Arabidopsis thaliana: one gene and its partners. The protein of the gene in region 1 interacts with the protein of each later gene in a pairwise test. Each region holds a gene or a part of one and is shown in the gene's direction. Other genes may lie near its edges. The genes, in order: TMT2, CAT6, CNGC18 and ABCG10.

What was found.
Region 2: the proteins of TMT2 (region 1) and CAT6 interact in a protein complementation assay, tested with the Arabidopsis thaliana proteins (one large-scale study listed by BioGRID).
Region 3: the proteins of TMT2 (region 1) and CNGC18 interact in a protein complementation assay, tested with the Arabidopsis thaliana proteins (one large-scale study listed by BioGRID).
Region 4: the proteins of TMT2 (region 1) and ABCG10 interact in a protein complementation assay, tested with the Arabidopsis thaliana proteins (one large-scale study listed by BioGRID).

What each region holds. Positions count from the first base shown.
Region 1 is NC_003075.7:16,794,181-16,802,512, reverse strand, and holds TMT2 (tonoplast monosaccharide transporter2), read left to right. Parts: upstream 1-2,701; 5' UTR 2,702-3,441; coding exon 3,442-3,520; intron 3,521-3,668; coding exon 3,669-4,235; intron 4,236-4,317; coding exon 4,318-5,258; intron 5,259-5,354; coding exon 5,355-5,542; intron 5,543-5,636; coding exon 5,637-6,081; 3' UTR 6,082-6,289; coding exon of another isoform or gene 6,290-6,499; 3' UTR 6,500-6,565; coding exon of another isoform or gene 6,566-6,640; 3' UTR 6,641-6,730; downstream 6,731-8,332. Other genes in the region: CPK5 (calmodulin-domain protein kinase 5), read right to left, coding at 1-77; AT4G35295 (homoserine kinase, putative / HSK), read right to left, coding at 6,290-6,499, 6,566-6,640, 7,130-7,180. UniProt on the Arabidopsis thaliana protein: Sugar proton-coupled antiporter which contributes to vacuolar sugar import (e.g. monosaccharides including glucose, sucrose and fructose), particularly during stress responses (e.g. in response to cold).
Region 2 is NC_003076.8:1,375,789-1,384,064, forward strand, and holds CAT6 (cationic amino acid transporter 6), read left to right. Parts: upstream 1-2,832; 5' UTR 2,833-3,329; coding exon 3,330-3,732; exon of another isoform or gene 3,733-3,848; coding exon 3,849-4,417; intron 4,418-4,529; coding exon 4,530-4,761; intron 4,762-5,482; coding exon of another isoform or gene 5,483-5,514; exon of another isoform or gene 5,515-5,968; coding exon 5,969-6,516; 3' UTR 6,517-6,690; downstream 6,691-8,276. UniProt on the Arabidopsis thaliana protein: Permease involved in the transport of the cationic neutral or acidic amino acids.
Region 3 is NC_003076.8:4,806,491-4,813,821, reverse strand, and holds CNGC18 (cyclic nucleotide-gated channel 18), read left to right. Parts: upstream 1-2,728; 5' UTR 2,729-2,924; coding exon 2,925-3,389; intron 3,390-3,550; coding exon 3,551-3,763; intron 3,764-3,847; coding exon 3,848-4,158; intron 4,159-4,234; coding exon 4,235-4,346; intron 4,347-4,449; coding exon 4,450-4,686; intron 4,687-4,771; coding exon 4,772-5,554; 3' UTR 5,555-5,731; downstream 5,732-7,331. Other genes in the region: AT5G14860 (UDP-Glycosyltransferase superfamily protein), read right to left, coding at 6,063-6,254, 6,446-6,784, 6,988-7,331. UniProt on the Arabidopsis thaliana protein: Cyclic nucleotide-gated ion channel required for directional pollen tube growth into the transmitting tract. Acts as a Ca(2+)-permeable divalent cation-selective channel inhibited by either lanthanum or gadolinium.
Region 4 is NC_003070.9:19,860,164-19,866,275, forward strand, and holds ABCG10 (ABC-2 type transporter family protein), read left to right. Parts: upstream 1-2,657; 5' UTR 2,658-2,714; coding exon 2,715-4,487; downstream 4,488-6,112. Other genes in the region: AT1G53260 (uncharacterized protein), read right to left, coding at 29-94, 177-258; AT1G53265 (uncharacterized protein), read right to left, coding at 935-1,312; DJ1B (Class I glutamine amidotransferase-like superfamily protein), read right to left, coding at 4,779-4,976, 5,129-5,269, 5,356-5,556, 5,694-5,774.

The sequences.
Region 1 (8,332 bases):
TTAGAGTAATCTTCAGGCTTATTGTTATCGCCTTCGTCGAGTTTGTCCTTGAAAGATCCACGGCAAGAATTGCCCATGAAACAATGGGAATTACCAAATCCTGGTTATAAAGACAGCAACTTTCACTTTGTGTTCTTCATCAAAGGAACTGTTCATAGAGATAACACTGTCAAAAGTCAAAAGACTTAAATTAGACCAAATACAAGAAGCTAAACGAGAACAAAGTAACGAACTTTAACAATACCACAAGTAAAGAAAGACGCAAAACCCACATCAGATCAAAGAGTCAAAATAACCAAAAAAAAGACAAAGAGCTAAGAAGTTTCGATGGATCTTTTAAAGGAATAACAAAACAGAGAATGAAGTAAAGCAAAAAGAGGATCTAGTTACCAGTTGTTGAACTCAGAAGGGCGAAAGAGAAGACTGAAAGAATGGGATTAGGAAGGAATCTGACTTAAAAGGAGAAACTAAATTTAGGGGAGACAAAAGAGAAAAGTCGAACAACAAAGGAAAGCTACAATATTTTATGTTTATTTATTTCAGAGATTGAAGTAAGAATAAAAATAGATTTTTTAAGAGCTTTGGTTTGGTCGGATAGATTAGATTCGTTGGATGAGAATGTGATGGTGTTTTATTTTACGGCGGCGATTGAGCGAAGAAAGGTCTTTTATTAGTGCTCACCAGCTACTACTTCTACACCTCTCTGACTCTGTCTCTCTCCGCTGTTTCCTCTCACCTTCTTTCTTCTGCTTTTGCATTATTAAATTTAAACCAGTTTCTCTTTTGTTTATCGTTTAAATTGTAATTGAAAAAAAAAACTAAAATTAGAATGTTGGTTTGTACAAAATCAAAATGCATTTCTGGTTTTACTAGTTACCGTTAATTGTAAAAAAATTTAAGTATTAAGCACGATGGTTTTATTCTCGTCGTATGAGAAGACTAATTTAAATACATGTGATCTACTTGTAAAAGAAGCAACCGTTCATTCAATCTCCTATCAGAAAGAATAGTAATCTCTTGAGATTTTTTCTTAAGATAAAGATATGCCAAATATTTAAACAGTATTATGGCGTCACTGACTATTATGACGTAAGAGATTGACTTTTCCATATATTGCAACTTTCTGGAGCCCCGCACATAATCCCTAATAAGTTTTACTTTTGGGCCTTGTTTATTCACTGATCCAGCCCAATGTTCAAATACAAAATTCAGACACCCCAAAGGCCGTATTATTGTATTGTTTTAGACTTTAGACCTTACAATAAGGCCTAAAATGATAACATATTACACATTTCAATTCCAGATAAAAAAAAGAACCGAAAATTTTAATTATAAACGCTATCAAATTGACATTTTCACAAGACTGAATCAAATTTGACACCTCCACGTACACAAGCAAAATTATATTTTGGGTTTTGTATCAATGTGCTGGCTGATTTTTTTTAGCAAAACTGTCCTGTAACATCTCTCCAACTTGGTTTGAATTCGTTTTAACATTAGTTTGGTGACAAACATAACGTTATTGAATTTTTCATTTTTCCGTAATAATCATTCTGATTTTTTTCTTTTCAAAATGTTGTTACTAGATGTTTCTTTCCCAAGAATAATATCTTAAATCAGTAATCACTACTACCAGTAAACATAAATGGTACGTTTCTCCTCATTCTACGGAATTTTTAAGAAGCAATGATGATGATTAATTGAGGATGTGGACAAGAATCTTTATATATTCGCATTCACATGCCATAACTTTCAAAGTCTATGAAAAAAGATTCTATTGCGTGTTTATATTCTGTGGTGTGTACTGTAGTTCCAAACATAACGCTTGTACTACGTTCATTTCCGGAAAATATCTAAGAAATATGGAGTCATAAATATTTATTAACCAATTAGATGTTTTTCCTATGTTCTAAATACATTTATGGTAATCTTTGCGGTCAAATATACGAACTTTAACAACGACGTTTAACAATATATCTTTTGTTTTATACATATCAAGTTTTGATATACGGACGATAGATATTTATTTTCAGAAAACCAGTAGTTGTCGTAGTCACATGGTTTGTTTTTCGTTGATCAAAATTTGTTAATGTTATTCATTTAGAATTAGAGACTGTATATCGAATTTGGTACTCGGTTCTAAAAAAAAAAAAAACTCAATATGATTTTTTATACATTCTTTTTCTTCCCTTTTAATCTGTAAGAAGAATAGTAAAGTGAAGAAGAAAAAACTATTCATTATATTGTAACATACGAATACGACTCACAATTAACTAAAGTTAAAGTGTCTCATTGTATTTGGACTTTGGACATTATTCTCCATTATTGCATTGTTTCTTTCTTTCTTGATTAATTATGTAAAGTTGAAATGATTTGAAGATGCTTTCCGGATGTAAACAAACTAAACTTTACTTTACCAATAACTTTGTTTTCAGAAAACTCAGATATTTATCTCTAGTTTCTCGTATAAGTCCCAATGAATCTAAGATTTCAAAAACCAATCCTATATTTGTTTCATATTTACAAAAAAACACCAAATATTTTTCCCCAATTATGCCGACATTAAACTCATCTTTTTACATACAAAATCCCAAATTAATATCCGTTTTTACCTTTACTTCATGAAAGCGAAGATGGTAAAAAGCAGAAACATTTCGAGATATTAATTTGATTGTATAGGCCCGTGAATAAACTCGTGGACCCAAATCGAAAAGATAACAAAATTTAAAGATGTACTTAATTCTCTGAAAAAATTCTGTACGCAAACACGAGAAAGAGAAGAGAGACATACACACACAATACACATACGTGGTTTGAGAGGACAGGAGCAAAACGGCAGGTGTCACTAATCCCATAGGCTTCTCTCTCTGTTCACTGTCCTTCCGCACAAAAAAAAAAAGTATTCATTTTTATATTCTCACGGTTACTTCGAAATCTAGCTTTCGTTTTCTTTTTTTTTGATTTAAACCAAAAGGGTAAACAATGCTTTATGATTGCTTAGTGACGCCATTGAAGCAGCGGCTCACTGATAGTGGCTTCTTCTGCCTCCAATTCCAAGTTGCTAACCCTAGTTTTCATCTCTCTCTCTGTATATCATATTCTCTCGTACTTTCTTACTTTCTCTTCTACTTGGTAGAGATAAAAAGTAGTCAAATTTTATTCAAAGTTTTGATTTTGACATCTGAGGTTTCACCTCTGTTTTTTTTTTCTAGAACTCCTTTGGGTATGTGTCTTTTACGTCACTAAAGGGTTTGTTATAGTCTTAGGTCATGCTTTTTGGTGTTATCTCTCTCTGTTTTATCTTTTAGCTCACCAAGTGATTGTGTCTGATTTTCGAATTTTCAGGTGGATTTTGTTTCACTCACTCATCGTCGTTGATCAGTGACTCTGTTTTTGCGAAATTCTCTTCAGATTTCTTGATAAAAGATAGAAGACGGAATTATGAGTGGAGCTGTGCTTGTTGCTATTGCTGCTGCTGTTGGCAACTTGTTACAAGGATGGGATAACGCAACTATTGCAGGTGATTGATTATCTTCTGTATCCATAATTCTGTTTATGAAATTTAGGATCGATAAAGTCAGGATTTTTATGGATACAATTCACAGATCTTTTAGCTTATCTCTTTTGCTTGTGTGATGGATTTTAAGTTTTCTTTGGGTACTCTGCAGGAGCTGTGTTGTACATAAAAAAGGAGTTTAATTTGGAGAGTAATCCATCAGTGGAAGGTCTAATTGTGGCGATGTCACTTATTGGTGCTACTCTGATTACAACATGCTCTGGAGGGGTAGCTGATTGGCTTGGTCGCCGTCCCATGCTAATATTGTCCTCAATTCTCTACTTTGTTGGTTCTCTAGTAATGCTATGGTCTCCGAATGTTTATGTGTTGCTCTTAGGAAGGTTGTTAGATGGATTTGGGGTTGGTCTTGTGGTCACACTTGTTCCTATTTATATATCTGAGACTGCACCACCTGAGATTAGGGGACTGTTGAATACGCTACCGCAGTTCACTGGCTCTGGAGGGATGTTCTTATCTTACTGTATGGTTTTCGGAATGTCGTTGATGCCATCACCTAGCTGGAGATTGATGCTTGGTGTCCTTTTCATCCCTTCCCTTGTCTTTTTCTTCCTCACGGTCTTCTTCTTGCCCGAGTCCCCAAGGTGGCTCGTGAGCAAAGGTCGAATGCTTGAAGCAAAGCGGGTTCTTCAGAGACTGCGTGGTCGCGAAGATGTGTCTGGTTAGTCTTAAATCGTTCTGACTCTAATTCTTTCAATGAAACCAATCTTTTCTATTGAATGTTCTTATGTGGCAATGTATAGGTGAGATGGCTTTGTTGGTTGAGGGTCTTGGAATTGGAGGTGAAACAACCATAGAGGAATATATAATTGGTCCCGCGGATGAAGTTACTGATGATCATGATATAGCTGTGGATAAGGATCAAATTAAGTTATATGGTGCAGAAGAAGGGCTGAGTTGGGTTGCTAGGCCAGTCAAAGGAGGAAGCACTATGAGTGTTTTGTCTCGCCATGGAAGTACAATGAGCAGGAGGCAAGGCTCATTGATTGATCCTCTTGTCACACTGTTTGGGAGCGTTCACGAGAAGATGCCGGACACTGGAAGCATGAGGAGTGCCTTGTTCCCACATTTTGGGAGTATGTTCAGTGTTGGAGGGAATCAACCAAGACATGAAGATTGGGATGAAGAGAATCTTGTTGGAGAAGGTGAGGATTATCCATCCGACCATGGAGATGATTCTGAAGATGATCTTCATTCTCCGTTGATCTCACGTCAAACGACAAGCATGGAGAAAGACATGCCTCACACTGCTCATGGAACTCTTTCTACCTTCAGACATGGAAGTCAAGTGCAGGGAGCTCAAGGGGAAGGAGCGGGTAGTATGGGGATTGGAGGTGGATGGCAAGTGGCATGGAAATGGACGGAAAGAGAAGATGAATCGGGACAGAAAGAAGGTGGGTTTAAACGGATATACTTGCATCAAGAAGGTTTCCCAGGATCTCGACGTGGCTCAATTGTTTCATTGCCTGGTGGTGATGGAACCGGTGAGGCAGATTTTGTACAAGCGTCTGCTTTGGTTAGCCAACCAGCTCTTTATTCCAAAGACCTTCTCAAAGAACATACAATTGGTCCTGCTATGGTACATCCATCCGAAACAACTAAAGGGTCAATTTGGCATGATCTTCATGATCCTGGAGTCAAGCGTGCATTAGTCGTAGGAGTTGGACTTCAAATACTTCAGCAGGTAGTCTAGATAGCCACATCAAAATTAGTGAATCACAGAAGAAATAATGCGGTTTATGCTAATTCTATGTTTTCCTGCTTCCTCTTGGAAATGCAGTTCTCAGGCATCAACGGAGTTCTTTACTACACACCGCAAATCCTTGAGCAGGCGGGTGTCGGGATCCTACTATCGAACATGGGGATTAGTTCTTCCTCAGCATCCTTACTTATAAGTGCATTGACAACCTTTGTGATGTTACCTGCAATAGCTGTTGCAATGAGGCTCATGGATCTTTCTGGTCGAAGGTGATTAAAACTTAAATTTCCTTTGTTCTTACAATACACATAAACGAAACAAGCTAAAATGCGTTATGAAATGTCTTTTATTTTATATTTGCAGGACCTTGCTTCTCACCACGATACCAATCCTGATAGCATCTCTATTGGTTTTAGTAATCTCAAATCTTGTTCACATGAACAGCATTGTGCACGCGGTCTTATCAACCGTAAGCGTTGTGCTCTACTTCTGCTTCTTCGTGATGGGTTTCGGTCCTGCTCCAAACATCCTCTGTTCAGAGATTTTTCCAACTCGAGTCCGCGGAATCTGCATCGCCATCTGCGCACTCACCTTCTGGATCTGTGACATAATCGTCACTTACAGTCTCCCCGTGCTGCTCAAATCCATTGGACTAGCTGGTGTGTTTGGAATGTACGCAATCGTATGTTGCATTTCATGGGTCTTTGTGTTCATTAAAGTCCCGGAAACTAAAGGCATGCCACTTGAAGTCATCACAGAGTTCTTTTCTGTTGGAGCTAGACAAGCTGAAGCTGCTAAAAACGAGTGAGAAACTGAAAGACTTGTTGAGATAAAAAGTTTGTGTAATATTCATGTGGATTTGTTGTTGTCTTTTTACTTTGTGCAGTAATAATCATCTCTCTCTGTTTCGTCTTCTTCATGTGGGGAGAAAAAAAAGTTTCAAACTTTCAGTTACGAATCTCTTTATTACCATTTACCATTTGCAGAATCCATAGAACAAATCCGTAAACTTTCAATTACATACTTTCGATAAGTCTAGCTCCGACTTTATCAAGTTTCTTCACAGAAGCAGTAGATTTCAAGTTTCCGATCTTCAAGAACACTTGGACCATTTTCTCTCCGATCTCGTAACCTTTCTCCGCCGTGTCAATCACTGCAACCGCAGTTATGGTGCGACCAAATGCTCCAGCTTCTTTCCCATTCAAAGCAGAAAGTGATTTATTCACCTATAATTCTTGAGCAATTCAGCGTCTTTCCTCGCTTCTTCTCCTTTCATTGCTCAAACTCTAAACCTTGTAGCCTCGAGCTCTGTGATTTGTAGCCTCGAGCTCTGTTTCTGCAATCACACAAGCTGCTCTATGGTTTGGCTACAATCAGTCGCTACACGTTTCAAAGCTAATGCCAAATATATCATCCATTGTTTTCTTGCGAATCTTGGCTAATGAGGGCACGTGCGAGACTCTCATTGCTCTAAGCTTTTTAAGTGGAAAAAGGAAACAATCCAAAATTTGTTTTAGAAAAGGAAATAACAAAGAAAAAGGAAACAACAAAGAGCCGTTAAGAAAAAAGGAAACTTTGAATCCCAAACACAAACGATGTGTCTATAAATTGAGGAACCCTTCTCAGAGATAGAAAATTCTTAAGTGAGAGAGAGAGAGATGAAATTACATACGCAATTGCTCTGATTTTCACCATTCTCTTCTTCGATTCCTGTTTCCTTCGCTTCTAATTCAACTCTGATTCTTCTTCTTCCTCCTTTGTCTCTCGTTAATGGCGTTACGATATCTTCTCTCAGTCTCCGTCGTCGGAAGTTTTCTACTTTTGTTTGAATTCAAAGGATTCCGGATTTTGTTTACCCTGTCTTCAATGCAATGGTTCATCGGAAGATTTTGCGTTTTCTGGTTCATGATTCATCGGATGATCGGAGGCTTTTGGGTTTATCCGGTTCATGATTCATCGGATGATCGGCGACTTTTGGGTTTCTCCGGTTCATGATTCATCGGATGATCGGAGGCTTTTGGTTTATCAGTCACGGACACGCACACGGGGAAGACGGACATGGCGGTGGACGAAAGAGGCTTGGACTGCAAATCTCATTTTCAGCCCATATAATACTCAGAAGCCCATCAACAAATTGAGGTTCATTTCCTATCCCTTCTTATTTACTTTTTTTTTTTCCTCCCAAAAATCGATTTTCTCACGGATTTTTAATTTGCATAACGATGATATGAAAACTAACTGGATTTTGGATACAGTCTTGATCGTTAGCGATTCCAAATATTCAACTTGTTTTCATATCATTTTTATGTAGATATATTATCCAAGTTTTTTATTCGGATTTTTAAAAGTTTTAAACGTTTTTTTGTTTTGTTTTGTTTTGATACTAAATTTACATAAAGATATATGAAACTAACCGGATTTTGGATCCAGCCTCGGTCGTTAGCGATTCCAAATATTCAACTTGTTTTCATTTTTTTTATGTAGATTTTAGTATCCAAGTTTTTAAGTCAATTTTTCCGGTTTTTTTTTTTAATTATAAATTTACATAAAAATATATGAAACTAACCGGATTTTGGATCCAACCTCGGTCGTTAGCGATTCCAAACATTCAACTTGTTTTCTTATTTTTTATGAAGATTTTAGTATCCAAGTTTTTAAGTCAATTTTTTCGGACTTTTAAAGTTTTTTTTTATTTTTTATTTTGTTTTTATTCTAAATTTACATAAAGATATTTGAAACTAAGCGGATTTTGGATCCAGTCTCGGTTGTTAGCGATTCCAAACATTCAACTTGTTTTCATATCATTTTATGTAAATTTGGATATTCGGATTTTTAAAAGGTTTTTTTTTACACTAAATTTGCATAATGATGTATGAAACTGATCGTATTTTGGAACCAACATTAGTTGTTAGCGATTCCAAACATTCAACTTGTTTTCATATCATCTTTATATAGATTTTTAATATCGAGATTTTTAATTCGAATTTTATATTGCTTTTTCAAAATTTTGATATTTTGTATTTGGATTTTTAAGGTTTATTTTTATTTTTTATTTTCTA
Region 2 (8,276 bases), on another chromosome or scaffold:
TGCAAATATGAAGTGGATACGTTACGAAGTCGACCAAGACGCCAAGACCGACTCTTCACCAGTATTGAGCCACGTGTCTTCTGCCAATTGTTTTGCGAGGATACTTTTTGGCATCGGACTGGTGCATCTACATGACGTGGCCTCTTGTTTAATCGTCACCTGGCTTTCCAATTTCCAAATAAAATCTACTAAGCTCTTGCTATTTTAAGCTTTTTATCTGCTACCATATGTTTCAAGTTTTGATATTATCTTCAAAAATATGGGAAAATAAATACAGAAAAATCAAAAAAAATAACTGTGAGTATGAAAAATATGGGGCGATTATTGGATGATAAAAAGAAGGTATGAAATTTCTGAATTGAAAAAAATACATAGAAAGGAAATTAGAAGAGGGGATAAATTGGTGAGGTAAATTTTGAATCAAACATTAAATTAACAAAAATGTAGTAAAATAGGGGGAAAAAAAAGTTTTTTTTTTTTTTTTGGAAATGTGTATGGGCTAGTAGCCCAAAAACAAGGAAAACACAAACTATTGGACTGGACTGATCAAAATAGTTAATGAGCGGTTTTGGTTTATGTAAAAAAGAGAATGGGCCTTTTAGATAGACTCTTTAAATAGAATTTGACAATCTCTTAAGTTATCTATTTATGGATAAATAAGTGATCCAACTTTAACTAGGTGAATTTGACAATCTTAAACTAGTAGGGAGTCTCACTCATGAACATTTTACATATTTATTTTTAAAATACTACACTTTCTTGAATACACAGCTTTTTTTTTGGGTGATATAATAAGGTATCTTCAAAAATTTATATATGAAATCAGATCCTAATATCTTGCTTTTACTGAAACCAAAAATTGTGTTTACAAAACGGCTCACATATCGGATTGGCACTCAAAAGTCAAATCACATATTTTGCCACGGATTTTATATAACTTCAAATATATGGAGAATGGAATTTTTGTATTTTTCAATTAGAAAAAAATACTATAGGGAAAACAGAGATGGGCAGGTCTGGCACAGGGCGTGTGAGACGTGGTCGGATTGAGGCAACCTGAATTTTGCATCTTATCTAAAATTCAGATTTGACCATCCCACTCACTGTATAAACCACTCCACATTATCTTTTTTATTTATTTCATTATTACTCTTTTGTGTACCCAAAAATGTGAGACTTATTGGTGACCATACAAGTCATAATTTATTCTTGTCGAAATTAATTTATATATAAATGTATGCGTATGTGTGTTGTAGATACGAATATGTGTCAACGTTGCTGACACTAATCTAATTATCATTATTGTGAACAAAGAGAGGCTTAAGAGTGTTCGATTGAAGTAGATATTTAATACTATTTGTTTGGATAAGGTAGTGTTAATTCAATGCAGTGCGCGGCCAACCAAAAAATAAAAAGATCAATTGCAACGTGTATCCAGTTACGGGTATGATTGGGAGCGATAGAACTTTTACATAAACATACACAAATCATTCTACAACACTTTTTAATCAAGTTTCATAGATGGTTAGATGAGTTCTATTCGAATTAACCTTATAGTGAGTTTTGGTGTGGTAAAAATAGTGTTGATTTTGGATTACATATACACATGCGGTTAGTTGGTGGTGTTGGTGATTTTGGATTTTGGATTTCAGTGAACAGCATCAAAGGCTCCGAGTTCGACCCATGAAAATAAAATCAGTCAATCCATTGCTTCTTCTTCATCTTAAAGCGTCGAGTCTAATGCCGATTTCTCTATGGAGAATACTCATCAGGATCATGATACAACCTGCAAACATGTTGCGTTGCCCTTATCACAGAGAACAGATCACTCATCTTTTTTTTCAAGAACTCACTCATGCATATTACCACTCACACATACTATCAAATAACACGGCACTAACACTAAAACAAATTACTAAGTTACAAACTGTACCAACACAAGATTTGCGGTTATTTATTCCTCTAAGTACCAAACTATTCGTGTCCTCGTTTTAAAACATTTAAATGCAGAGACAAAATCAGTTGAAGAAGACCTTAATTAGCTGCAAATATGCGATAATATTTTCCTAGTAATGCCAAGTTGCCAACTATAAAAAATGAGAAGATTGTCGAAAAGAACCAACTAATTACAAAAACTCATTTCCTCAAATTCTGGTCACGCTTCGCTTTAAACCTGTGTGCTTATCCATTGAAAACAAAACAACATCCCACGTGTCACCTTCTTTGCCACACGTGTGAATCTTAAACCACACATAGCCGTTAGAGGTAACGTCGTTACCGTGTCTTATGATATACGGAAGTTAACGCCGTTTGTTTAGTTTTTTCTTTTTAACGTCCGTGACGGTTTCATAACCTCGGGAACTAAGTAAGGAAGAGCTTTTGAAGCAGAGAGTCGTTACGTTTCAAACAACCGATCATAGTCATAGACACAATTATGGTATTAATTTCATTAATTAGTACTAATTCCCTATCAATTACAAGGAACGCAATTACAAAATTTTGTCTATAATAACATCAATTTTAGACCCTCATTTCAAGGAAAAATGTGGGAATGATTCTCCAATGACATATTTATGATTAAAAAGTTCATTTCTCAGGTTCGAAATATTTTGACCATTTTGAAATATACTAATAATGTTGTTTAAAAACATATCTTATTAGAATGTTTATATGGTGTTATAGTGTTGAGATATTTTTTTTAAATATAAATAATTGAGTACAAATCTATAAATTTAAACAATAAAGAGTGTTATTAACAATTAATGATAAGTAGTAAAAAAAAAAGAATATTCTTCAATAAAAACCGTAATTCATTTTTTTCCTATTTTTTAAAAAACAAAACAAAATAAGATAACCATAGGAAATGCCACTCTGTTACAACTCAGCAGTCTAATGATATTTAATAAAATACCAATTTTAGTGGTTTATGGTCAACAAAAATAGTTTACAAGCTTAGCTAGATGTGAATACATACTATATACTACCAAACTAGTTTATGATTTGTATATGAATCAATAAAAGCGTTAGCATAATTAGTATATATAAATGTAACTGTAATTGGACCAAAGAGATAAAGCATCTTGGGTTTAGTAAGCTTTTGAGCTGATGATGCTTATGTGATTAATGTGAATATAAGAATTAGGGAACAATCTTGTTGTTAATAACAATACTTATAACATTTAAATGCCCTTAAGTATCGTCATAATTACATCTTTGTCCCTATCCTTCTCTTTTTCACTTTTCCTAATCTCTAATATAAAACCAACTCTTGTCAAATTCAACAAAATTCTCACACAAACCGACCCGACCCGAATCTGGCCGGTGAGAAAATGGAGGTCCAAAGCAGCAGCAACAATGGTGGTCACTCTTCTTTCTCCAGTCTCCGCGTCTACCTCAACTCTCTTTCCGCGACGCCTTCTCGCTTATCCCGCCGCGCTATTTCCGTCTCCACCTCTTCCGACGAGATGAGTCGCGTCCGCGCCGTCTCCGGCGAACAGATGCGCCGTACTCTCCGGTGGTACGATCTCATTGGACTCGGAATCGGGGGAATGGTCGGCGCCGGTGTCTTTGTCACCACCGGCCGTGCTAGTCGTCTCGACGCCGGTCCTTCAATTGTCGTCTCTTACGCCATCGCCGGGCTCTGCGCTCTCCTCTCCGCTTTCTGTTACACCGAATTCGCCGTCCATCTCCCGGTCGCCGGCGGTGCCTTCAGCTACATCCGTATCACATTCGGTTAGTCTCCCGCGAAAATCATCACTACTCCTCCGATCTGTTCACGGTTTTCTGAAAATTTTAATTTCAAAATCAAAAACCGTAACTGATTTCTTTTCTGTTACATTTCCGTTCAGGTGAATTTCCAGCATTTTTCACCGGAGCAAATCTTGTAATGGATTACGTAATGTCAAACGCGGCCGTTTCGAGAAGCTTCACCGCTTATTTAGGAACAGCTTTCGGGATCTCAACTTCCAAGTGGCGATTCGTCGTCTCCGGTTTACCGAAAGGATTCAACGAGATTGATCCAGTCGCAGTTCTCGTCGTCCTCGTAATCACAGTCATCATCTGTTGCAGTACAAGAGAGAGTTCCAAAGTGAACATGATAATGACTGCATTTCACATCGCATTCATATTCTTCGTGATCGTGATGGGATTCATAAAAGGAGATTCAAAGAATCTATCCTCACCGGCGAATCCAGAGCACCCCTCGGGATTTTTTCCGTTCGGCGCGGCGGGAGTTTTCAACGGAGCTGCCATGGTTTACTTAAGCTACATAGGATACGACGCCGTTTCAACCATGGCGGAAGAAGTTGAAAATCCGGTCAAAGATATCCCCGTCGGTGTTTCCGGCTCCGTCGCAATCGTCACCGTTCTTTACTGTCTCATGGCAGTCTCTATGTCAATGCTTCTGCCATACGATCTGGTCCGTACTTCAAATTTATTATTTTCTTATTGTATATTTCCGTTTTCATAAAGACGGCACGTAGTCTGAGTCTAAAGCTGAAAACGGCGGGGCATGTGTTGTTGTAACGCAGATAGATCCGGAGGCGCCGTTTTCCGCGGCGTTCAGAGGATCGAACGGCTGGGAATGGGTGACGAAAGTGGTGGGGATAGGAGCAAGCTTTGGGATATTAACATCACTTTTGGTGGCAATGTTAGGTCAGGCTCGCTACATGTGTGTCATCGGACGGTCCAGAGTGGTCCCCTTTTGGTTCGCTAAGATTCATCCCAAAACATCTACGCCAGTCAACGCCTCCACTTTTCTTGGTACGTTTCTTTGTCTTCATTCATTCATCAAAAAAACATTTATTTAATTACTGTCAAACAAACAATGATGAAATATAATCAAATCATATATAGTTAAAAATAAATTTTGGTCCAGAAAGTGAGATAGAGGAGTAGTAGTTAGGTTAAAAGGGGACCCCAATGAGAACCGTTTCGGTTGTTTCCATGATCTTTTTATTGATTTGAACTTTTAACGTTTTCTCTAAATCATACGATCCACGTGATTTCATTATATATACGTGTCCATTTCAATATATTTTAAAGATCAAAAGCTTTTGGACGTTACCATTTTAAAAATCTTCTGCTATCGATTTCGATCGTGACAAGGGCTATGTACGTTGTGTAAGTATATCTCAATGTAGGGACATGGTTCAATGTGATTTGTATCATTGTATGGTGTTTAAGACAAGAGTCACAGAGAGAGCATCTGAGTCCGATTGCTAGATGTCGTTGTTCACCACTGGTTTTCTTTTCTGCTCTGTGAAAAGTTTCGTGTTTTTTGATTGTTCAAAGATTCAATCTTTTCAACGGTCTTGATTGTGATGGATTTGGTGGGTCTCTTTGGTTCTTTTTGTGTCTCCTTAGTGTTAAAAATACATATTCCACTTTTTTTTAAATAAAAATACGATAGTTGGATTATTAGTCATCCATTGGACGACTAGTAGTTAATCAATCATTTTTTTATTTCATTTTTTTTGTGAAGATACTACTAAGCCTAGTCGGCTGATATTTTGACAACTCCAACTTTTCGTAATTTCCGGAACATCTGGCTGAGCTATGCAACTCGTGAGTTGTTAGGTACCAGGATTTAGAATAATGACCATCTTTGATAAAATACATAGAAGATTGGAAAACATATACTAACGTTTAGAGCCATATTTATATGCATAATCTTTGTAACAAGCATTGTTTTCCTCATTAAGTTACTCTCATGCCTTTGTCACAAAATGGATCATTATAAAGGGGGTCATCATCGTTCAACCTTATCCTTGCTAATTTTAGCACCCACTAACTCACATTTGCTATATCCATCAATAGCATTGACAAAAAGACAAAATAAAGGAACAAATCCTCCCACTACCATTCATTTCAAATTTGGACTTTTTTCACTAGTCGAATCATCTACAGTTATAGAGAATATGACCATTGACCAATCTTATTAACGTTCGTATATTTTATCCCTTATCAGGCATTTTCACGGCGGCTCTTGCGCTTTTCACCGACCTAAACGTCCTCCTAAACCTCGTATCCATTGGAACACTATTTGTCTTCTACATGGTCGCAAACGCTCTCATCTTCAGACGTTACGTCCCGGTTGGACCCACCAAGCCGTGGCCCACACTCTGCTTCCTCACACTATTCTCCATAACCTCTCTCGTCTTCACCCTCATCTGGAAACTTGTGCCGGAAGGTAAGCCTAAAGCTTTCATGCTCGGTGCCAGTGCGGTGGTGGCTATAGCCATCGTGCTGAGCTTTCAGTGCGTGGTTCCCCAGGCTAGGAAACCTGAGTTGTGGGGAGTCCCGTTCATGCCGTGGACCCCGTGCGTGTCGATATTCTTGAACATTTTTTTGCTTGGTTCGTTGGACGCACCCTCTTACGTCCGGTTTGGATTCTTCTCCGGTTTGATCGTGCTCGTGTATTTGTTTTATGGCGTTCATGCGAGTTCTGATGCTGAAGCGAATGGATCTTTTGGTGTGAAAGATGGACAAGTCATGAAAGAGCTAATTGAAGTGTGAAAAGTATTTATTTAGTTTAGTTTTCTAAAGCATCATGAACCAAAATGTAATTAAACTCTCTAATTTTTTTTCTACATGAGGGGGTTTGAAATATTAATGAGAAAATATTAAATACAACTTTAGGAAAAAAAAGAATATGTATTTTGGTTTAACGAACGACCAAAATGAAATCGGTCATATGCAAGTCAATCTGTTGAGAGAATAGAGAAACTGATGATATTTTTGTTTTACCGTTGTGTACAATTCACAACACACAATATTTTTAAATACAGTACAAACTATTAGGTTACAAGTTTTTGAGATTGAAAGATCAAATCTTTGTCAAACCTATAAGGCAAGATCACGTATGAAATATACATGTGATAGATAACATTAATAAATGGAAACGTTAGATAGACATAGGTCTCTCATAAATACGAGATGGCGTACAATTGAAAACGATGGGTCCCCATCTTTCTCACGGGACACACATACGTGACATTATCCGCAACTTCATATATATCCAACAAGATCACCTTTTCTTTTTCATTTTTTTGTTCACAATCACTTGTTTCAAATTCCTTGAGGATATTTATACATTCTTTTATTATTTGCATTTATATATTCTATATATCAATAGTACTATTGAACTTTCGTAAACAAAGAACCATGCACAAAAAGTTTCAGTTTATTAAAGATGTCTTCATTTTTCTACTTTTATTTCTTATCAAGTATGATTTAGTTTATCTTATTGATTTCATAAAGATGAATGTCTAAGGTAGGATCGAATATGTGATCTCAATTAGTATAATCAGTCCAATTATTCTTTTAGTGAACACTACCAATAGGCAATAATTATGTGAGTAATTTAGTTAGGATAACATACATAATTACATTTTTATATATTTTGAAGTGGATGATATAAATCTCGAATCTAAATGAACTGTGTTTAAGTGGGAGACGACACTTGCTTGTATTCTCTCTCTTTTTGGTAACTATATTCGTAAGGATGGGGTCCAAAGAAAAGCCCAATATTTTCAAGATCGTCACATTGTTGGAAGCTTTATTTTTACATTATTTATGGATTTGTTTATAAGAAATATTCTGCCAATAAGAAGATGTGATTCTATTGGCAATACAAAGATTTGATGTCTTTCTAGAAACCCCACTTTACTCAAAGTAATGAGTTCCCTCTGTAAAAGGGTTCAACTCTAAGCGTGATCAGTGCTTCTTTTTAAAACTTTCCTTTATCCTAATTACAAACCTTAATATTGGATTCTACATTGGATTAACTACCAAAATTTTGACTTTTGAGGTTTACAAAAAGACAACATGTATTTTGTTTAACAACGGCCATGAAAGAACCTATTTTCTTCATTTTTTTTTTTTTTTGGTACAACCTGTCTAAACTAACAAAATATCTTGGATTTAGGATCATTATTATTGCATTATAATTATCGGCTATCAATTTCTGAAATGCACTAGAGTAAATGAAGAAAACTAGAGCTTAATCCTTGATTAAATAAATTATATAGAACACGGGACCACGAAAATGTCAACCTCTTATAAACCATTCAAAGCAAAATCTAAGGCAAGTTGTGTAGAAGATAGAGTGAGCCCATTAATCCATAGCTATATAGGTCTAATCAATTATTTCACTTTTTTGTTGACATTTTTATCACGAAATTTTTTTCCGACTTCTCATGAGCTTTGACATTCGCTTAAAGAAAAAAAGATCTTTATGTATAAAATAGTGTTTTCCAAAAAAGAAATCATAAGAG
Region 3 (7,331 bases), on another chromosome or scaffold:
TTCACGTAAGATCTTTGTAACATTTTTTCACACTAGTTAATTTTACATGTATTATAGATTCGCTGCAAAAAAAAAAAAAAAAAAAAAAAGAAAATAGAAAAATTTCTGTTTTTTCACACTAGGCCGATTTGATTGATCAAAACCGATTTTAAAAGCTTAAACTAATAAATCGATTTCATTCACCAATTTATTAAAATTAGATCGTTTTGGAGGTTCAAGAATATCTGGTCGCTGTTTAAGACGATATTTTGAATCTTGAACCGTTGAAACTATATATACTAGGTATATTTACTGTATGTTGTGAAAGGGTTTACTATCACATGGCTATTATATAAGACCGTACTAACATATGCAAATATTATATGTGGATCAAAGTACCACAAATTTTGAGTGAACCAAAAACAAAAGGTTAGAGATAGAAAAATATGCATGTAAAAAATAATAAGAGATGAAAGAAATATTAATGGGAGATGGGTGGGAAATGAATAGATTGGTGTCTTCGTCACTTTTACTTTTTTTTTTTTTTATTGTTTGTTTGATAGTACCAAGAGATTCTCTATTCTATTCTTTCGTGATGGTTTATTTTAGGGTATATTACGTGACCTGTAGTTCATCCTCTCCAACTCTCAAACCCACAAATTATTCACTATACATATATCCAAAGATTATTTATTCAAAGATATGACTAAAAATCTCTATACACGTGTGTATGTAATAGAAAGGTGCAAGGATTTTGGTGTGGCACCACCTTCAAGACTTTTTTTTTATCAAGACCTAACTCTTACCACTTTGAAAGCAGCTTATCTTATTTCTTTAGATAAAACAATTGATAAGCGAGTGCTTTAAACTTCACAAAACTACAATCTACTTTTTATTCGATAAAACAAAAGATTTTATTAGTCTTTTTCATTAGGGTCCCAAATGATTAATATGTTCACGATCACGAAATTTCTTCTTGCGTCCCGTAAGCATTTATATTAATCAAACAAAAAGGAAATTTGTTGCTTCCTACAATGGGAAGTGGGAACCTTTGCCATCTTCATAAATGTTTTAAATCTTTTTTTTTTCTTTCTAATGTGTGTTTCATAAACACCAGCGACTTTATTGAAAAGAGGAACACGTAAATTGTATTCTCAAAGAACAATTTTTTTAGGAAGAGTAACATTTGTTTTCCTTATCTTAATATAAGCAACGAAATCAATCGTGCATATAAAAGTGAAATGCTATTTTGAATTTTCTAAACTTGACTAGCAAATTTTCACTAAAAAATAAAATTAAAAAGTAACGATAAAGTAGTTGTCGTATAGTCTACTCCACATGAATAAAATAATAAAGTAAATCAATAGAATGTAAATCTCTTAATTAATCATACTTATTATATAATCACAGTGGCAAAGTGGAATAAAAAAAAAAGAGGAGAATTGGATCCCGTCGGATTCTATATTTAAAGATCGCTAAACATCTCAAATCTGCCACACGTGGTCATACTTAATAGCAGCCATTAACGAAGTAATAAATTAGTCGATAATAATGTTTAACCAACATCGTATTTCTAGATCCATGAATTAGTTGGAGTAATTAACATCATTGTTTCTTAATTACGTTTAACAAGCATAGAGAAAACAATATTGTCACATATGTTAGTATAAGTTATCATAATCATTTATAAAAGCTTGTTATTAATTTTTTATATTGAAATTACTACTTTGTGTCTAATCGGAAAATGATGGAGTACTAAAATTTGAAGGACTAAAATACGTCATTATTGTTAGAGAAAACAATTACGCATAAGTGTGATTTTTTGGAAGTGGAAAAGTTAGTATGTCCCTCTATATGATATGATGGAAGTTGTTGTTCTTTTTGTGTGGATAAACATCATTTTTCCGTGACGTAATTTTTAATTTCAGTATTCATTTTATTATTCTCACTTCTTATTATCCCTTTTATATTCGCATAATTGTTTCTAAGGATTTCTATTCCCTTTTTGTTATTTTATAGGTACACTATCTTATGGATGGTGTCAACAAGCATGTACACTATCTTCCCACTACCACATATTGTCACAGAATGTTTGGTACGCGTGCTTCTATATACTTTTAATAGTACATAACAACAACAAATGAATTATGTAAGACAATTTGTTAAACTGATGTCAAAAACGGAAATACTACAAAAGACAGTATAATTGAATTACGGGTTTAATGTGTTGACAAAATATAATAAATGTAGCTCATAAAACTTCAATAATTCACTTAAATAAATTCTAATGAACCTCATAACGAATTAGATATTTTAACTAATCTTATCATGGTTTTACGAATTAATTATAATTTTTTTTTTTATTCTTTGAACAATTGAACTAAACAATATTAAACCGGACTTTAAGTTAAAACTACTAAAAACATTATTAGTTTATCAATAGAAATGATCATAGCAATTGTATACATTATAATGTGTAATTTTAAAATCCTAAAGCATATATAGTATATATCCCTTTGATTTTCATAGAAAAAAAGTAGAAAAAAATAACTATTGGGCCGATCTATAACTATTGGGCCGGTGGGTCCAACAACTAAGAACAGTAGATATTGTGTCGATTGAAGTTTTGAGATGCAAAACGTGTGCTGTTTTGAGAACACAAAAACAGCATAAACAAACGAGACCCGCAACTATAACATTCCGTAAATACCCTCATTCTCCCATCATATTTTCAAAAACTACCCTTCCCCCTATTTCCATGGCCCTTCTCTCAGTTTTCCCGCGAGAAATCCTCTCCTTCTTCCATAATCATCAAAAACAAAATGCAAAAACCCAAAAAAACAAAAAATCACACGACGCAACCACCTAGCCTCTCTGTCCATCAATCTCAATCTCTCTCTGTGTTAATGCGGAATCCGATTTAACACCGGAATCCGCCATGGAAGATGAATAAAATCCGGTCTCTCCGCTGCCTCCTCCCGGAGACCATAACCTCCGCCTCCACCGCCGCCTCAAATCGAGGATCTGACGGTAGCCAATTCAGCGTCCTATGGCGGCATCAGATCCTGGACCCGGACAGCAACATCGTCACCTATTGGAACCACGTCTTTCTCATTACCTCAATCCTCGCTCTCTTCCTCGATCCTTTCTATTTCTACGTCCCTTACGTCGGTGGTCCGGCGTGTCTCTCCATCGACATCAGCCTCGCCGCTACTGTCACTTTCTTCCGTACAGTCGCCGATATCTTCCACCTCTTGCACATTTTCATGAAATTCAGAACTGCGTTCGTCGCGAGGAGTTCTCGTGTTTTTGGTCGCGGTGAGCTTGTTATGGATTCTAGAGAGATTGCTATGAGATACTTGAAGACAGATTTCCTCATTGATGTCGCCGCCATGCTTCCCCTTCCTCAGGTTCTTAAGATTTTGCTCTTATTTTGAATGTGAAAGCAATGATATGGATTACGATTAGCTAAGATCAATGTTCAAAAATCGTTAGGCGGTAGCTAGAAGATTAAAGAACAGAGATATTTTGGGAGCCTCATGCTTTGTTTCTGACTATCTTTTGATCTCAGCTTGTTATTTGGCTAGTAATTCCAGCGGCCACAAATGGAACTGCTAATCATGCCAATAGCACTCTCGCACTTATCGTTCTTGTTCAATACATTCCAAGATCATTCATCATATTCCCACTCAACCAAAGGATTATCAAAACAACCGGGTTTATCGCCAAGACTGCTTGGGCAGGAGCTGCATACAACCTCCTATTGTACATCCTTGCTAGTCACGTAAGTTTTCTTTATCTTGTGTGTTTTTTCAAATCTTTAGGTTTCTTCAGTTTTAAGTTGCTAAGAATCTCTATTTGTGGGCAGGTGTTAGGAGCAATGTGGTATCTGTCATCAATCGGGCGGCAGTTTTCGTGCTGGTCCAACGTATGCAAGAAAGACAACGCTTTGAGAGTTTTGGATTGTCTTCCTAGCTTCTTGGATTGCAAGAGTTTAGAACAACCAGAGCGCCAGTATTGGCAGAACGTTACTCAGGTCCTTTCTCATTGTGATGCTACAAGCAGCACTACCAATTTCAAATTCGGAATGTTTGCTGAAGCCTTTACCACTCAAGTTGCTACAACAGATTTTGTGTCCAAGTACTTGTATTGTCTTTGGTGGGGTTTAAGAAATCTAAGGTATGACAACCTTTTATCTAACCAGTATCTGCTTAAATTGTCCTCCTTTGGTTTTAATAAAGGTTTTGTTTCACAGTTCTTATGGACAGAATATAACCACAAGTGTATACCTTGGCGAGACCTTGTTCTGTATAACAATTTGTATTTTTGGGTTGATTCTCTTCACACTCCTGATTGGTAACATGCAAGTAAGATTCAGAGCTTATGCATCACTCTGCAAAACTTTTCAATACAGAGACATTTTTTTGTCTTTCTAACAATAGACTTCATGATTTTTAATTTGGTGGAAAGTCTTCTCTGCAATCGATGTCAGTAAGAGTTGAGGAATGGAGAGTTAAGAGAAGAGACACTGAAGAATGGATGAGACATCGTCAACTACCTCCAGAGCTTCAAGAACGTGTCCGAAGATTTGTCCAATACAAATGGCTTGCAACCAGAGGTGTCGATGAAGAATCAATCCTCCATTCATTACCTACAGATTTACGCCGTGAAATCCAACGTCATCTTTGTCTCTCCCTTGTTCGCCGGGTACATACATCAACTCAGTCATCAAAAACTGTTATGGATTTGATTGTTTTTCAATTCAGAAGTCACATTGTTGTGGTAAGTGCAGGTCCCGTTCTTCTCTCAAATGGATGATCAACTTCTTGATGCTATATGCGGATGCCTTGTCTCATCTTTAAGCACGGCCGGGACATACATATTCCGTGAAGGTGATCCGGTGAATGAGATGCTATTTGTGATCCGAGGACAAATAGAGAGCTCAACAACAAATGGAGGAAGATCTGGTTTCTTCAACTCCACTACTCTACGACCTGGCGATTTCTGTGGGGAAGAACTTCTTACATGGGCCTTAATGCCAAACTCTACACTCAATCTTCCGTCTTCAACACGAAGCGTCCGTGCCCTCTCTGAAGTAGAAGCCTTTGCATTAAGCGCAGAGGATCTTAAGTTTGTTGCTCATCAGTTCAAACGTCTTCAAAGCAAAAAGCTTCAACACGCTTTCAGGTACTACTCACATCAATGGAGAGCATGGGGAGCATGTTTTGTCCAATCTGCATGGAGAAGATACAAGCGAAGAAAGCTTGCGAAAGAGCTCAGCCTTCACGAGAGTAGCGGATACTATTACCCGGATGAAACAGGTTACAATGAAGAAGACGAAGAAACTAGAGAGTATTACTATGGAAGTGACGAGGAAGGCGGATCAATGGACAACACAAATCTGGGAGCAACGATCTTAGCATCTAAATTTGCGGCGAACACGAGAAGAGGAACAAATCAAAAGGCTTCAAGTAGTAGTACTGGTAAGAAAGATGGATCTTCCACCAGTTTGAAGATGCCTCAACTATTCAAACCAGATGAGCCTGATTTCTCTATAGATAAAGAAGACGTTTAAAGTGTAGTCATTATGGGCAAAAAACTTTTGTGTGAACTGTTTGGTTTTAGATGGTAAATAGTTAGGAAACTCCCTTAATTATTTCAACTTGTAATTTTTCTTTTCTTTTCGTTTCGGTTTGAGGATGTTAGATATAGAAAACGAGTGTAGAGTAAAAATACATTGTTCTTAAACTGTCTCAATGTTATATAGTCTGATTTCTTCTCATAGTAGATACTACTTTTGCATACAAACTCATTTTTAAGTCTTTCAGAAGAACACTAAGGTGTTGATAGCTTCTTCGGATTGACCAGCCAATATTAACCTCAAAGATAGCAAAAATCTCATAAAGCAACCACTGAATGCAATTGAAATTTTTTGAAACTATAAGACCAAAACCAAGAATTAGAACTCCAAATTAGTCATTCATATCCAATTGAGAAGAATGGACCAACTTTTCAACAAACCTAACATATTTAATGACTAAAATTAGGTACGAAGCCGTTTTGTTATCCAATCCTTAATCTCTCTAAGCATCAGAACTTGACAACTTATTAACACCGTCTGGCTCTCTACTCTTACAAAGCTCTTCCAGAAGCGAATCCAAACTCTTCCAAGACGAACCAGTCCCTTGAGCCATAGCTTTTTTCGCCATTTTCGCATACTCTTTTACATTCTTCATCGTTGTCTTCCCCATCTCTCCCTCCATCAATTGTTTAACCTAAATAGTACAAATAATAAATACAATCAAGGGGTACTCTACAGTCAAACGGAAAAAGAGGCTTCCTTCTTGTTAATTTGTTAGTCAAAAAGCAAAGCCATGATTACCATATTCAAAACATTTTATTCTAATATATGCATGACACCAATTAAAACAAAAGATGGAAACATGAAAGGGTATATATACGGTACCTTTCGACTAAGTTCTTCTCTTGTCACGAATCCTTTCACACTTACATCTTCTGTTTCGATTCTTACTCCGATCTTTAGCTCCTCCACTACCAACTTCGCATTGAGTGGCTGCTCTGCCATCATTGGCCAAGCGAGTAGTGGAACCCCAGCGCAAATACTCTCTTGCGCCGAGTTCCATCCACAATGACTCAAAAACCCTTTGACACTTTTATGTGACAATATCTCCCATTGGTCTACCCAATCTCTCACAATCATCCCATGCTCTTTCACTCTCTTTTCGAACCCTAATCCTCCAGTTACTTCTTCCAAGTCCTTTCTCGTGACCCACAAGAAATTGACCTTTTTAAAACAATCAAGACCACGTAAATTCACAAAACAATACTTTTCTTTATATATATATATATAGACTAAAAAATGTTTTATGGGTTGATACCAAAAACAAATAAAAGGACATGCATGGAATTTGGTGGAATAATAAAAGTGATTGGTCAACTGTATTAATATGAGGTTTTAAGTTGGCATTAATCCATTCTTTAACGTACCTTGGAATCTTCCAACCCTAATGCTATTTCCTTGAGCTGCTCGTTCGATATCTCAGCCTGCGTTCCAAACGCCACATACATAACCGGACATCTTTCCTCTAGTTTCCGGTCCAACCAATGAATCCAATCCGGTTTATCACTCTCCGGTTTTGGAGGATTTACCAAACACAAAGGCCCAACACACCACGGTTTTGGTTCATCGTTATCACGGAGCCGGTAGTCAACGAACGTTGACTCGAGCTCGTAAAAGCTGTTCACTATAACTCCACGGCTTTTCTTGGTGGACATAAGATGGTCAATGAGTAGCTCGAACGCTGGATCCGATTGATCCGGTTCGGTCAAAA
Region 4 (6,112 bases), on another chromosome or scaffold:
GCACAATCATCAGAGTTAAACAACATACCTCCATAGTCTTTATTCTTCCCATCCAAGTAGGAATCAGGAAGAACCCACTTAACCTTAGGCAACTCTGGATTGTTCACATACAAAAGTATAAGAAATCAATGCTTATAATAAACTCAAGCTAAGCAAAAGAATTAACAAGCTTTAACCTTTGATCTTATGTGAAAGATCTTCTGAAACAAGAGCTCCAAAAGCAAAGTAGCATTTGTGCGACACAGAGTAAATCTTCATCCTTGCCTCCTCTTCACTAAAACGCAAAAATAAGATACACACTTAACAAAGTAAGACTCTAGAAACAGATCAAAGAACACTGTGGAAATGGATCTATATATATACCTGCCAACAACTTGAGCTAGGGTTTTGATGTAGTAATCAATAATCTCGTCTCTAGAGAGATTTCCATGACAACAAACCAATGCTCGAAATCACAACCATCAAGCAAAATCGTATCCTTTGGTGGCCGATTCGACCAGTTAGGGCTCGGATCATTCAGCGAAGCGGAAGTAACCTGCGTAGACATACACCTAGCTAGAGATACACCGGCACGGACCAACGCTGAGAATCCAGAAACGAGAGAACGTGAACGATTCAACAACGAAGACGCAGATCGAGAAACAGTAGGGGAATTGGCGAGAGGAGATGACGAAGAGAAGGAACGAGTGAACAGTGAGGAAAAGGATTTAGCTGGCCGGTGAAGGATGGAACGAGAAATCGCCATTGGAAGATGATAAAAATGGAGAGGTTTTAGTGAAAATGGAAAAACCCCAAGCATAAATGGGTTTAGATGGATCTTTCAAATTTCAAGGATATTATGTAAAACTAAAAATTGTAGTACATATCATTACTATTTTACATTATTTTCAAAATCGTCCCATTGTTATTTCAATTGACATGAGAAACCCATTTGTCACGAAATCATCATAAACAACCATATGTTGAATTCTTCTCTTTCGTCGAGGTTAGTAGAGAACATATCTGGTTGCTCAGTGGGAGTGACATTAAAAACGTCGTCTATGTATTGTAGATTAGGTATTTCAATGATACCTAGTTGAGGATCTCTCAAATAGCTTATAATCTTTGGTAGGACAAGATCCTCCATATTCGTATGCAAATGGACATTGGCAAAGTTATGTGGTAGCTCATATTCCCGTTCTGCTAAGGCCATCTTTTTGTGCTCTTCAGAGCAATACCGAGATTCAGGTGCGTAGACACATGTACAAGACCAGTACGCGAAGGCCTTATCTTTATGCACATAATGCATAACACGAAGATTGGCAACACCCATTGCAGAAACCTGCTAATACACATTGTTAGGTCTAGAGAAAAAAACTCTCTCTCGCAACTTTGAAGATTTTGTTTGCTCTTTGGATTGTCGAGATTGTTTCATTTCGTGTTTTTATATTATTTTTTACTTTTAGTTTTGGATTTGAATCTTAGGTTTAAAAAAGAAAAAGAAAAATTGTGATCAAAACGACATGGTTTGATTGAAGATGATGCTAATTCATTAAACATGGGTCATTTGAGTCGACGTATGTTAGTATTAACTAACATTTGTTATTGCAGATCCTAAAATACGTGCGACCTATAAAGTTTGGATATAATTTTTTTTTTTTTATGAATTTGGGTAAAGAATTAACATTGTACAGTATGTTTTATATAAGAAAACAATACTTTGCAAATTGTACTGGTATAAAAATATCGTTTTTCCAGTCACCCGCTTACGTTTGGTCCAAGTTGTTTTTAATTTTATACCGAATTAAAGTTTATTAGTCACAACTTTAAGTGTTTTTTCCAAACCCAAATCAAAATTCGATTTTTTTCGTCACAACTTTGAATCAGCCCCTTCACCTTTGCAGCCACATCTAACCGAATGCCCACCTAGACAACATCTTATAATGCGTCTTTTTATTATTATTATCCAAAAATAATTAAATTAGTGAGGTTTCTTACGTGATTATTCCTTGTTAATTAAACATCTGAATTTCCGTAAGCGAGTTCGAAACACGTAATTAAATATTGTAGGTAATATATAACAACCAAACTGGGTTTCCTCTCTTTCTTTGTTAGAAAAAACTAATAAATTAGATAAAACAAGTTCACCAACAAGGCAAACATTTCACGGTCAATTTTTCAGCTCACCCGAATTTGAGAATCTCTAGACGAAACCAAATCTCTTTCTAACTAATTCTTTTTTTGCTTTTCTTGTACCTCTTCACAATTTCAAAACCCAATTAAAAAAAAAAAAAAAAAAGAACCAACTACATATCTTAATTTCTTAGATATTTTTTTTGGTCAACCAATTTCATTAGAAATTAAAAAATACAAGAAAAACAACAAATGTTTAATTTCATATAAATTTATCTAACTGTATCAATATTATTTACGAACAAATTCTTTATTAAGAAAAACAAATTAAGCATTTTAAGCTTGGAATCATAAATATCTTTGGTTTAATTTAGTCATAGTCAAGTGCTTTTCGGTTTTCATGGAAGGCAATAAGAGAAAGCTAATAAAGTCTTGAAGCTTTTGAATGTTTGAATAATAAAGGAGAGGTTCCTTAAAGTTTGGTGTGTTAGTTCATCTTCTCTACCATTTATTCTTCACTTAATCTCACACTCTTTGCTCAATTTGTTGATTTCTCTATCTCTCAAAGTTTGATGCTTTCTTTTTCCTTCTTTCTTTCTTAGATGGAATTGCCGGTAAAAGCTCCTATTCCCGGTGGCCGGGAAATCTCATATAGATTAGAAACCAAGAATCTGTCGTATAGAATAGGCGGAAACACTCCAAAGTTTTCTAATTTATGTGGTTTGTTGAGTGAGAAGGAGGAAAAGGTTATCTTAAAGGATGTTTCTTGTGATGCAAGATCCGCGGAGATCACTGCGATCGCGGGTCCAAGCGGAGCAGGGAAAACCACGTTGCTGGAGATTCTAGCCGGAAAAGTTTCTCATGGGAAAGTTTCAGGGCAAGTGCTTGTCAACGGTAGGCCTATGGATGGTCCTGAGTACAGGAGGGTTTCAGGGTTTGTGCCACAAGAAGATGCTCTGTTTCCGTTTCTTACGGTGCAAGAAACACTGACGTACAGCGCACTCTTGAGGCTGAAGACAAAGAGGAAAGACGCGGCTGCAAAGGTGAAGAGGCTGATTCAAGAGCTTGGTCTAGAACATGTTGCGGATTCAAGGATCGGTCAAGGATCAAGATCTGGAATCTCTGGAGGAGAGAGAAGAAGGGTTTCTATTGGAGTTGAACTTGTTCATGATCCAAATGTTATATTGATCGATGAGCCAACCTCTGGTTTGGATTCTGCGTCCGCTCTTCAAGTTGTGACGCTTCTCAAAGATATGACGATTAAACAAGGTAAAACCATTGTTCTGACGATTCACCAGCCTGGTTTTCGCATACTCGAGCAGATAGACCGGATAGTGTTGCTCTCTAACGGGATGGTTGTTCAAAACGGATCAGTTTATAGCCTTCATCAGAAGATTAAGTTCTCCGGTCACCAGATTCCTAGGCGGGTAAATGTCTTGGAGTATGCAATTGATATTGCAGGGAGTCTTGAACCGATCAGAACCCAGAGTTGCAGAGAAATCTCATGTTATGGTCATAGCAAAACATGGAAGAGTTGCTATATTAGTGCAGGAGGAGAGCTTCATCAATCTGATTCTCACAGCAACTCAGTGTTAGAGGAAGTGCAGATACTCGGGCAAAGATCTTGCAAGAACATCTTCAGAACCAAGCAATTGTTCACAACCAGAGCCTTACAAGCTTCCATTGCCGGTCTTATACTGGGGTCGATTTACTTGAACGTAGGAAATCAAAAGAAAGAAGCGAAAGTCTTGCGAACCGGGTTCTTCGCCTTTATCCTCACTTTCCTGCTATCTTCCACAACAGAGGGACTTCCAATTTTCTTGCAAGACAGGAGAATCCTAATGAGAGAGACATCGAGAAGGGCTTACAGAGTTTTGTCTTACGTTTTAGCAGATACTCTCATATTCATTCCCTTCTTGTTGATCATAAGCATGCTCTTTGCTACGCCGGTTTATTGGCTGGTCGGTCTCAGAAGAGAGCTAGACGGCTTCCTCTACTTCTCATTGGTGATATGGATTGTTCTTCTGATGTCAAACTCTTTTGTCGCATGTTTCAGTGCTCTTGTCCCAAACTTCATAATGGGGACATCAGTAATCTCAGGTCTCATGGGATCTTTCTTCCTCTTCTCCGGGTATTTCATTGCAAAGGACAGGATCCCCGTTTACTGGGAGTTCATGCATTATCTCAGCCTCTTCAAGTATCCATTCGAATGCCTGATGATCAACGAGTATCGAGGAGACGTGTTCTTAAAACAACAAGACCTCAAAGAGTCTCAGAAATGGAGCAATCTTGGTATCATGGCAAGTTTCATCGTCGGGTACAGAGTCCTTGGATTCTTCATCTTATGGTACAGATGTTACAGAACAAGAAGCTAGGTTAATAACAATGATCTGCAGATATAATTCAATTTGTTTTGTAATTTTATAAGAAATTTTACTTTCTCATATTCTTTCTTTTTGTTCAGCACTTTCTTATATTCTAAAATTCGCAATGTAAAGTAACAAAAAAACTTTCTGATAAAAACAGAGTAAACTCGTTTATTTATAAGACAGTTTTAAGCATCACACTTAGTACAAAGCTCACCACAACAACGGTACACTCATTGATCGTTTGATACTAAAGCCTTTTTCTTATTAAAGTCACTCTTACCTAAGATACTCATGAGTTTACACAAGTGTTGCCTTTGAGAGCTGAAGTCCTTTCTCGCGCCCGTAAAACTTCTCTACAATTGCAAGTGCAAACTCCAATGAGGTTCCTGGACCCCTGCTCGTTATGAGATTGCCGTCCACCAAGACTCGATGCTCGATGTGACTCTGGTCCGTCAGTTTGCTGCACATTGCTGGAAACGCTGTTGCCTTCTTACCCTGTAAAAAAATCCATTAAAAATTGTGACCCTTCCCTTAGTTTTAAGTGCAAAAATAACGGTTTGATAACAGAATACTCCATGCCATCGGATATATAGTAATGATCCTACACATCTAAGCAAATGTGTGTGCTATTGTGATTACTCTCGTACCTTGAGTAAACCATGTGGCTCAAACACCAGAGCAGGAGAGGCACAAATTGCTCCATATGGTTTGTTTGATTCCGCCTGCTTCTTTAACATATTCACTAGCTTCTCCGAACTTGCAAATGCTTCAGCACCGCCGAGACCACCCTGATAATAAAAAGAGAAGTTCATCATGTTGGCCTCAACTTGCTTGACACTATAAACTTTAGTAATTTGAAGAAGTTAGCACTCACAGGCAACACAATCAGATCGTACGAATTCTTTTCAGCCTCGTCGAGAAGCACATCTGCCACCAGCTTGACTTTCCGAGATGCTACCACTTCCAAACTGTTACCAAGCGCAGCTACGACAACATTTGCTTTTGCCCGCTTCAGGACATCAATGATAGCAACAGCTTCCATTTCCTCCGAGCCATCTGCAATGGGTACAAGAATCTGAAAAGGAAAAACATGATCTCTCAGTGTACGGAAGATTGATTAAGAAAGACGCATGAGCTCAGTAAAGCAAGTGTGAAAAGTTTTGCCAGTCTTTTTTTTCTTTTCATTTTGCCAGACAGGCAATTGAAAGCTACCTGTGGGGTACCCTCGAATGACCAGCTGACTTGGTTAAGCTCAGTAATAGTATACTCATCACCAGGGTTGGGACGCATCACCTGATATGCAAAGGGGAAGAATAGAGACTAAGAGGTTACCATGGAATAAAGCCTATGCTACCAAGGAATGGTTGTTTCTTTGTGGAAACCTAAATTTTTCAGTGTCCTATATAGCTTTCAACTGTCTGTAATCTCACAAGAACAGTCACTGATCAGTGGACAGGGGAAATAATGCTGAAAAATTCAGCCACAGGCCTAGGCTTCAAGGAAATCACAGTATTAGTGAGGTCGAAAACACGTATTTGTATTTTTTTACATGAACTAACAATACTAGGGTGCTTTAAAGAGTGTTAAATCAAATAAGTGCTCCCCTCGAATCAGCTACTAAATATATCCTT